Mus musculus: one gene and its partner. The protein of the gene in region 1 purifies or fractionates together with the protein of each later gene. This does not show direct contact. Links are inferred from orthologs where the notes say so. Each region holds a gene or a part of one and is shown in the gene's direction. Other genes may lie near its edges.

Evidence for each region.
Region 2: the proteins of Cep97 (region 1) and Sugt1 purify together in Homo sapiens (affinity purification with mass spectrometry; 3 studies listed by BioGRID and IntAct, with this or other methods). This does not show direct contact. The link is inferred for Mus musculus from reciprocal best matches to the Homo sapiens genes CEP97 and SUGT1.

Annotation. Positions count from the first base shown.
Region 1 is NC_000082.6:55,903,849-55,907,659, reverse strand, and holds part of Cep97 (centrosomal protein of 97 kDa), read left to right. Parts: intron 1-1,790; coding exon 1,791-2,492; 3' UTR 2,493-3,811. UniProt on the Homo sapiens protein: Acts as a key negative regulator of ciliogenesis in collaboration with CCP110 by capping the mother centriole thereby preventing cilia formation. Required for recruitment of CCP110 to the centrosome.
Region 2 is NC_000080.6:79,586,086-79,590,690, forward strand, and holds the start of Sugt1 (protein SGT1 homolog), read left to right. Parts: upstream 1-1,574; 5' UTR 1,575-1,743; coding exon 1,744-1,781; intron 1,782-1,868; coding exon 1,869-1,926; intron 1,927-4,605. UniProt on the Homo sapiens protein: May play a role in ubiquitination and subsequent proteasomal degradation of target proteins.

The DNA of each region.
Region 1 (3,811 bases):
TAGTTTTATGGTTGTGGGTCACCACAACAGGAGCAACTGTATGAAAGGGCATTAGGAAGGTGGAGCAGCACTGTTTTCAGAGCTCTCTGAGGGCCAGTGAGCTAGTTCACTGGACGAAGCTGTAGGCCATCAAGCTAGCCAAGCTGAGTTTGGACCCTGGGACCACGTGATGAGAGGCAAGGACCAGCTCCTGCAGGCTGTATGTGCCCCCCTCCAGAACTAAAGAAAAATTAAAAATTGAAAATATGTATGAAAACTATACATGTTTGAAAATACATAGAAAAAAATTCTGAAAAGATACATTTTAGACTACTATCAGAAAGTACCTCAATGGCACAGAGCTGTATAGTGAGAACCTGCCTCAAAAAAAGACAAGAAATTCCCCTGGAGAGTAGTCAAAGTGAAACTAAAACTTCTCTATTTGGCTTTCTCCTCTCCCCAGCTATCTTTATCTACTTCATTTTATTTTATCTTACTCTATTTTTGAGATAGGTTCTCATGTGGTCGAGGCTAGCCACACACTCACTCTAGCTAAGGGTGACCTTGAACTCCTGATCCTCCTGCCTGCATCCCCCAAGTGGTGGGATTACAGGTGTGCCCCATTACAACTGATTTGTGTAGTGCTGGGGTTTGAAACCAGCACCTCGTGTATGCTAGGCAAGCACTATACCAGCTGCAATTAAAAAAATAAACATTTCTGTGTATGGGTGTTTTGCCGGAGTGTATGCATGTGACCTATGTGTGTACGGTGCCCTTGGGGCCACAGGTGAGTGTGGAAGCCTCACACCTGGAGATGTGTACCGTTGTGACCTGCTGTGTGGGTGTACCGTTGTGACCTGCTGTGTGGGTGTACCTTTGTGACCTGCTGTGTGGGTGTACCGTTGTGACCTGCTGTGTGGGTGTACCGTTGTGACCTGCTGTGTGGGTGTACCGTTGTGACCTGCTGTGTGGGTGTACCGTTGTGACCTGCTGTGTGGGTGTACCGTTGTGACCTGCTGTGTGGGTGTACCGTTGTGACCTGCGTGGGTGTTGGGAACTGCTCTCCTACAGTCAAGAATAGCTTGTCTTTTTAACTACTGAGCCCTTTCCCACCCTTGCCTTTTTGTTGTTGCTGTTTTTGTTTGCTTGTTTGGTTTGCTTTGTGAGACAGGGTTTCTCTGTGTAGATCTGGCTGTCCTGGAACTCACTCTGAAGACCAGGCTGACCTCAAGCTCTCGAAGATCTGCCTGCTTCTGCCTCCCAAGTGCTGGGATGAAAGGCGTGTGCCACCACCGCTCAGCTTGCAATTTTTATAGTAAAAAATTGAAATTATTTTTATAACTTTAAAATATTAAGGGCCATATTGTCAAGAACTTGGGGTATTTTTAGTCATTTTAGAAAGTTATAAATACTACATTTTAAAATAACTGGAAACCCCATGTCTGCATCTATATCTAAAATAGACTCATTTTAGAAGATGCACTTAGACTCAGAGGTGCTAATCGGCCCTTATCGACTAGATGTTGTCTATATTTTGCACATTATCGATCCGTTAGTGAGAAAGATGCTGTCGTATTTCTCCCGTGAAGCAGGAGAACTGCTATGGCCTTCCTCTCGTGCTGGGGGTTACGCTTTGCTGCCAAGGACATAAAACACTGTGCCTGCCCAGTTAGGCTGGGGTCAGCCCTGTGAAGGGATTAGACGGGTAATGAATGCAGGCAACTGCAGGACTTCTGTGGGGGAAAAGCTCTGGACATTTAAAAAAGACAGGCTGTTTACTTTCTACTAAAACTGTGTGTCCTGGTTTCCAGGTAAGATCTGTACAAGCTTGGCAGCAGACAGTGGAACAGCGTCTGGCTTCCTGGCCGCCCGACGTGCCTCCTATATCAAGTACTCTGGCGTCACCCAAGCCCCCGTTATTTCCACATCATCAGGACCCCTCTTCGGATCAGAGTTCGGACTGGCTCGTTGCTGAGGACGAAGCTGCGCAAGGGAGATCAGCGCCAGACTTTCCCGACTCTGGGTTTCACTCCTCCCTGACAGAGCAAGTTCCCTGTCTGCAGGATTCGTTGGATTTTGAAAAGAGTTCGGTAGAAAGCAGCGAAAACTCCGTGTTGGGGAATTCCGCTGACACGGTGAAATGCGTCAAAGACCGAGACTCGGAGGCCACAGCCGAGGAGCACAGTGACTGCAGTAGGGAGAGCTCAGCCAGTGAGCAGGACAACACTCTGCTCCAACAGTATTTAACCTCCGTCCAGCAGCTGGACGATGCCGCAGAGGCGGCCGATTCTGACGATGTGGCAGGAGACGGTAAGCGTCACCTCGCTTGTTCTCCGGAAAGGTTTGACGCCTCCTCTGACAGTGAGACTCATAGAGTGGCCTCTACTTCACAGGATGAAATTAGCCAGACGCCAGAGAATTGTCAGTTAAACGAAGAAGCCCAAGGGCAGCCTCCGGAGTGTGACCCTGCCTTTCAGGGGTTGCATGTGGGTGTCACTGTGCAGCCTGTCTGATTTACTGGGGAGCAGAAATTCAATTCGATTTTCTTATGTTTTCAAGTGTCTCTTTTGCAGGGGAGCAACCCTTTCCCCCATTTTGTTATTATTTATATACAACTTGTTTCCTTGTCCCACACTTTTTAGATATTAGCTACTGAACTACGTCTTCATTTTCATTGTACTACTGTACTAAACAATATTGATATTAAAAGGCATATGCACTTTATTTCTTAATAATTACACCAATAATGTTTCCTTTACATCCGTACTGCCTTTCAGGAACAGTTCCTTGCAGTAGTTTTGGTGATTTAAGTAGGAGAACTTGGCTCTTGTTAGTCACATGGTAAGGGATGGAATATGTAAGGCACGGCTAGGGTGAGGACTATGGAAAAGTGAAATTTCCCAGGCAGTCTCCTTGGCCTAAAACTGTGGCTTTCCACCCTTTGTGTTAAGGAAAGCCTTCTTGTATAAGAACACTTAGGGAGAATAAGGTTTAGTGTGTGTGTGTGTGTGTGTGTGTGTGTGTGTGTGTGCGCGCGCGTGCCTTATGTGTGCGTGCTGGCATTTAAAAGTCTGAGCCTGGAGAATGGTCAGCATGTGCCCGGCCATTGAGCTGCTCACCTAACTCCCAGATCGTAAGACTTTTAAGTGGGTGATTAAATTGCCTCATGACAAACATTAGCTAATTTGTGGATCAGTTTTGAAGTAAGGTATTCCATCAGGATTAAAATCAAGCTTGCTCGGGCAAGTATCTTTCTCTTTGCTATGGAGAAAGGAGACATAGAGTTAGTCACTTGGAACCATGCTGTTCAAATGCCTCTTTTCATTATGTACTCTTTTAGGCTGTTGACATTTATGTGCCAATACTTTGGGGAAGAAGTAGATCGTAAGAAATCAATATGTATTCATCATTATGGTCTTGCTTTTATTTCTATATATACTTCACCAGAAGAGCCAAAGCTACACTTCACAGTGTGTGTGTGTGTGTCTGTGGACCACAGGAGTTACAGCCCTGTGCATGCCCCATGGAGCTGTGTCTCAGTCCTTATTTCACTCGTGACCTTTGTCCCTTAGTGAAGAACGTTTAAAATCCTGATAGACTGCAAATGTTGTTTTTTTCCTGAAGAATTTTTTTTATCTAATCTCTGAAAAGTGCCATATTCGAAGGACAATGTACTGGTGACTAAGAAAAGATAAATCCAGCTGGGCTTGGTGGCGCATGCCTTTAATCCCAGTGCTTGGGAAGCAGAAACAGGCAGCTCCCATGAGTTCAAGGACAACCTGGTTAAAAGTAGGTGCTAATATCATCCATTATTCTATTAAAGCCATTAGAG
Region 2 (4,605 bases), on another chromosome or scaffold:
TTTTACAGTCTAGTTTCTGCAGGGTTCACAGAAACGGAAAACAACCTTGAATGGAAAGATCCAAAACGATGCTCTCTACCTTCCCTTACAGATCTGCTTAGCTTCAGTTTAGTTGAGCTAATTTGATCTTCTCAGTACTTACTAAAACCTGAAACCTGCACCTCTTTGAGTTTAGTGGCCAGCTGGCCCTGGTCTGCCTCAAGTGTCTCTCCCACCTACTTCTCCTTTCCCACAAGTGGATTCAGATTCCTTTCTGGGACCTGTTATCTTCTATCAGCCCTTCCCCGCCCCGGCTCGACCCCCCCCCCCCTTCAAACAACCCATTTACAATACAGATGGGATATACCTACAGGTGGCAAATGTGTTACACTTTAAACTTTGTAGTATTCCACACTTCCATCTCTTGATGACCCCATACATACTTAAATCTTTGTAACCTCCGTTTCTCCATCTTGAATATGGGCTCAAGTTTCTCTGTATTTTCAAACGTCCTCCCACCGTTATTTTTTGCATCTGCAAGGGGTGATTGATTGGTAGGTTGAGGTTGTAACAAAAAATTATAATACCCACGATAGCTAGCAAGCACAACTAGGCGTTTGGCCAGTATGGAAAACGTGCTAGAAAAGTGGGGAAGACAAAACTTAGGTCTTTTAAAGTTAGAACTCAGAAAAGTGGGCGAGTTTAACAGTGGGGATATGTACACAAATGCCTGAACTGTAATTTCTTTTTCTTCGTGGACTGTCATGTTTCCAGACTGAGGTCTTATATATATCTTGTTTGAGGAAGCCAACGACCACTTCAATCATTTCACCTACTAAAACAGACTTGGTAAAACGAGTTACTGAGCGTTATCAAGAGCTTTTAAATCAAGTTTGGTGAACCTATAACTGCCACTCCCTCCTGTTGCCCCTTACCACTCAGTTTCAAAGAATTCGCAGGAAACTTCCTAGTGTGATGTTTGGCTCTAAGGACGGCGGGGGACGGGGGGCTTACTGGTTACTTAGAACACAAAGCAGCAATAAGACCATTAGCTATAGGTCACTTTCATCCACGCGGTGCTTGTGAAACAGGCTTTTCTTGGTTTGGAAAGCCGACTTAGGAAGGAAGCTTGGGGTGTGGAGCTCTGGCATCTGGCAGGCCCTCCGGAAAACTCCGTCCTCCATGCCGGTAACGTGACTTCCGGCGAGCCAGGCCGTCCGGGTTCTCCACGGAGAGAGTCATGCGAACTGATGCGCCATCCCGGGCTCTGCTGCCGGAAAAGACCTGGCTGCCACGAGTGACGTCACGCACAACTTGGCCGCCGGCGGTAGCCATGATGAAAACCGGAGTAAACGGAGCTTAACGTGACACTCCTTAGCGAAGCCAGAACTACCTCCCGACGGATCCCCAGTACCTTACAGTGGGCTCCGAGACAATATTTCAAAGCTTACAAGCCATGCCGGATCCCCCACGGGCGTACGGCGGGGCGCGGGACTCACGGCCACGCCCTCGGGGCGGGGGCTTGGCTGCGTCACGGGTAGGGGCGGGGCCGGAGAGCGTTTCCTCCTCTTTCCCAGCCGGCCCCGCGCCTACCTGCCCACCCTTCGCCTCCTTTTCCGCGGCTGCATGCTGCGCGACCGCTGATTGGCTACGGAGGACGGAAGCTCAGTTGGGGTTTCTTTAGAAGTTTTCCCTTCCTGGGCGGCGGCGGAGCTGGTAACCAAGGTAGAAACGCTCAGGCAGAAGCTTTCTTGACTCCTAGGGATGGCGGCAGCTGCAGCAGGACCTGCATCGTCCCAGCGGTGCGTGATTTTCTTCACCTTTGCTGTTTGTCTTTCTATTCTTTCCTTGATTAGAGAGACCTGCTGAAGTCGTTGTTTTCTTGGCAGGCTTTTCCAGAGCTTCTCAGATGCTCTGATCGACGGGGATCCCCAGGCAGCATTAGAGGTGAGTGAGCTCACTGGGACTGTTGGGTCCCTACAGACCCCTCCTCTTCCCGGCATTACCTTCGTGGGAGCAAAGCTACAATGTATCTAAGTCCCAAAATTAAGATACTTAATCTCTTTGTCTCCTTAATACCTTTGCCATAGATCTTGCCCTTCCTCTCCACAAGCTCCCGATGAGGGCACCTCCCTCCCATTTATTTCTTGGAAACATAGTTACTGTCTGTGGTTGCACTTATAATGGCATTTATGATCAAGGAAAAGGCGAAAATAGGGCTTGATGTATCAATTTTTTACTTTAACAGTTATGTTTGCCCTTATATGTCAGGTACTGTTAAGTGTCCTTAATTAAATTTACTAAAGAACATTTTCCCTCTGTGCCTTCCACTTTACAGATGACTGTGGTTGTTCTTTATACAGTTGTTTATAAAACCGCGCTTTTTATCTAGGCTGGCCTTAAACTTTGGATCCTGCGAGTTCTTGGGATGTATCAGTAAATAAACCCTGCCTACATTTTAGTATTATATGATTTGCTTTTGGGCCATTTCAGGTGAAGTCTAGAACAAACTAGCTTTGTACGGATGTTTCTTAGGAGCGCTGGCTGGACTCCAGAGAGTTATCGGCACATGTCAAGTATGGTGGTACAGGCCTGTAATCCTGGTACTCAGGCGGTGAATGCCCTAGGGTCAGAAATTCAAGGTCATCCTCAGCTACTTTGTGAGTTGAGGCTAGCCTGGGATGTGTGAAATTCTTCCCGACACTTCAGAGCTCCCCCGCTGGAAAAAAGGAAACATTTTTATGTTTTGAGCCTTAGAGAAATCACTTTTGTAGAGACTAGCAGACTAGGATAGCTACATTGTTGTTTTAATGTTACAAGCTCCGCTTTGTATTCTTAGGTCTACAGAGTGATCATGAGGTTTGATAGCGCGGTATTAGAGAGCCTGCTGGTGTTGGCGCACACCTTTAATCCCAGTGCTTGGGCGGCAGAAGCAGGTGGATCTCTTGAGTTTGAGGCCCACCTGGTCTACCATGAGAGTTCCAGTATGGCCAGAATTACACAGAGAAACCCTGTCTCAAAAGAAACAAAACAACAAAAATCAAGGCATTAGTGACTTTGAGATTAGGGCTACAGACGCAAGTATCTTTATATTTTCTGCCAAAGGAAATTAAAACCCGAATTGAGAGTAGGGGGAAGGACTGAAAAAGGAGAAGGAAATGAATAATTATTAAAAGGTTATTGAGTGCTGGCTACAGATCTAGGCTGCCCCCAAAGCCCTAATAATTGGCAGATGCTGCCCCTTCTAATGTGTTCCATGCAATTCTCTACAGCCCCTTGGCTACCTCACATTCTGGACTTTACTAGTTTCTTCTATTTGAATGAAAATGGGTACCAATGAAGCATGGGTACAAGGGTAAGAAGTTTATTTTAAACTGCCAAGGCTGTCTCTGAGGAGAGCAGCAAGATGCGGGGTGGGGGGATGTAGGGGGGTATACGTGTGTGTGTGTGTGTGTGTGTGTGTGTGTGTGTGTGTGTAAGATCTTCTGGGTTATATGGAAGCCATACCTGGGCCTGTGGGCTGGGTTAGGGGGTGGGGGACTTGTGAGTATGGAATAAGGAAGTGTGGAGGCTACCATTGACCTTGACACGCCAATGAGAACCACAGAGATATGTTAATGTATCCCTTTTGCCAGAGATGAGGGGAAAACTTAGCACATAGGAACTATTTCAGACTGGGGAAAGGGATTTCTTGGCGGGCTTGGGGGTGGGGTGGGGTTGGGGACGACGACTGACATTGTTTCTGGTCCTGCTTGGTTTTACTCTGTTCATGGTACAGTAGCCAGCATGACAGTTGGATCATGTCACTCTCCTACTAGAACTTTCCATGTCCTTCCCTCGAAATGAAGGTCCAAACAATTTCTTTCCAATGCCCATCAGGGTGCCTGGTGCAGTGGATATCTTGGAACTCTTTTTCTTTTTGTAGAGCTACACTGTTTGAGGTGCATCTGCTTTTGCTCCACATACACTTGACCTTTATCTCATTTTACTCGGCGATGCCGAATTCTTTAGGTTTCGCCCGAAATGGTTCCTGCTGAGGGGAGCTAGTTTTTCTGTCTAAATTAGGTCTGAAAATAAATAGCCTCAAGACAGCAGGGGGTTTTGTGTATCTTGATTCCTTTCTGCTGTGTTCTCAGTATAGCACTTGGGACTCCTCCTGCATGATTCTTGCAACCCTCTTCATTGGCATAAGCTACATTTTTACTCAGTAGGGAGTTGAAGTACAGAGTAAAAAGGTTAACTTGATCAAAACAAAGAGGCTTGGAAGCAACAGGTTTCTAGTTTCAAGGGATTAAGGTCATCTGGCAGGGAGAGAACCTGGGCTATGTGATACACCAACTAGGAGCTGACTTGGAAGCCACTTGGTTGAGAGCAGTTTGAGATTGGTAAACATGTGGTGGCAATCAGTGCTGACATTCTTCTCTAAGCAATGCTTCTGTGCTTAGACCCCAGCTAGGTGAAGGTAGGGAAAAGAAGAGGAACCAGATTGAGATACGCACACACCCACCCACCCACCCACCTAGAGATTCTTTGAACATTAATTAGCATTTTTAAAGTAAATTTGAAAATTTACTAAAAGTTAGTATTAATTAAAAACATTTTTTTCTTTTTTTTTTTTCTTTTTTT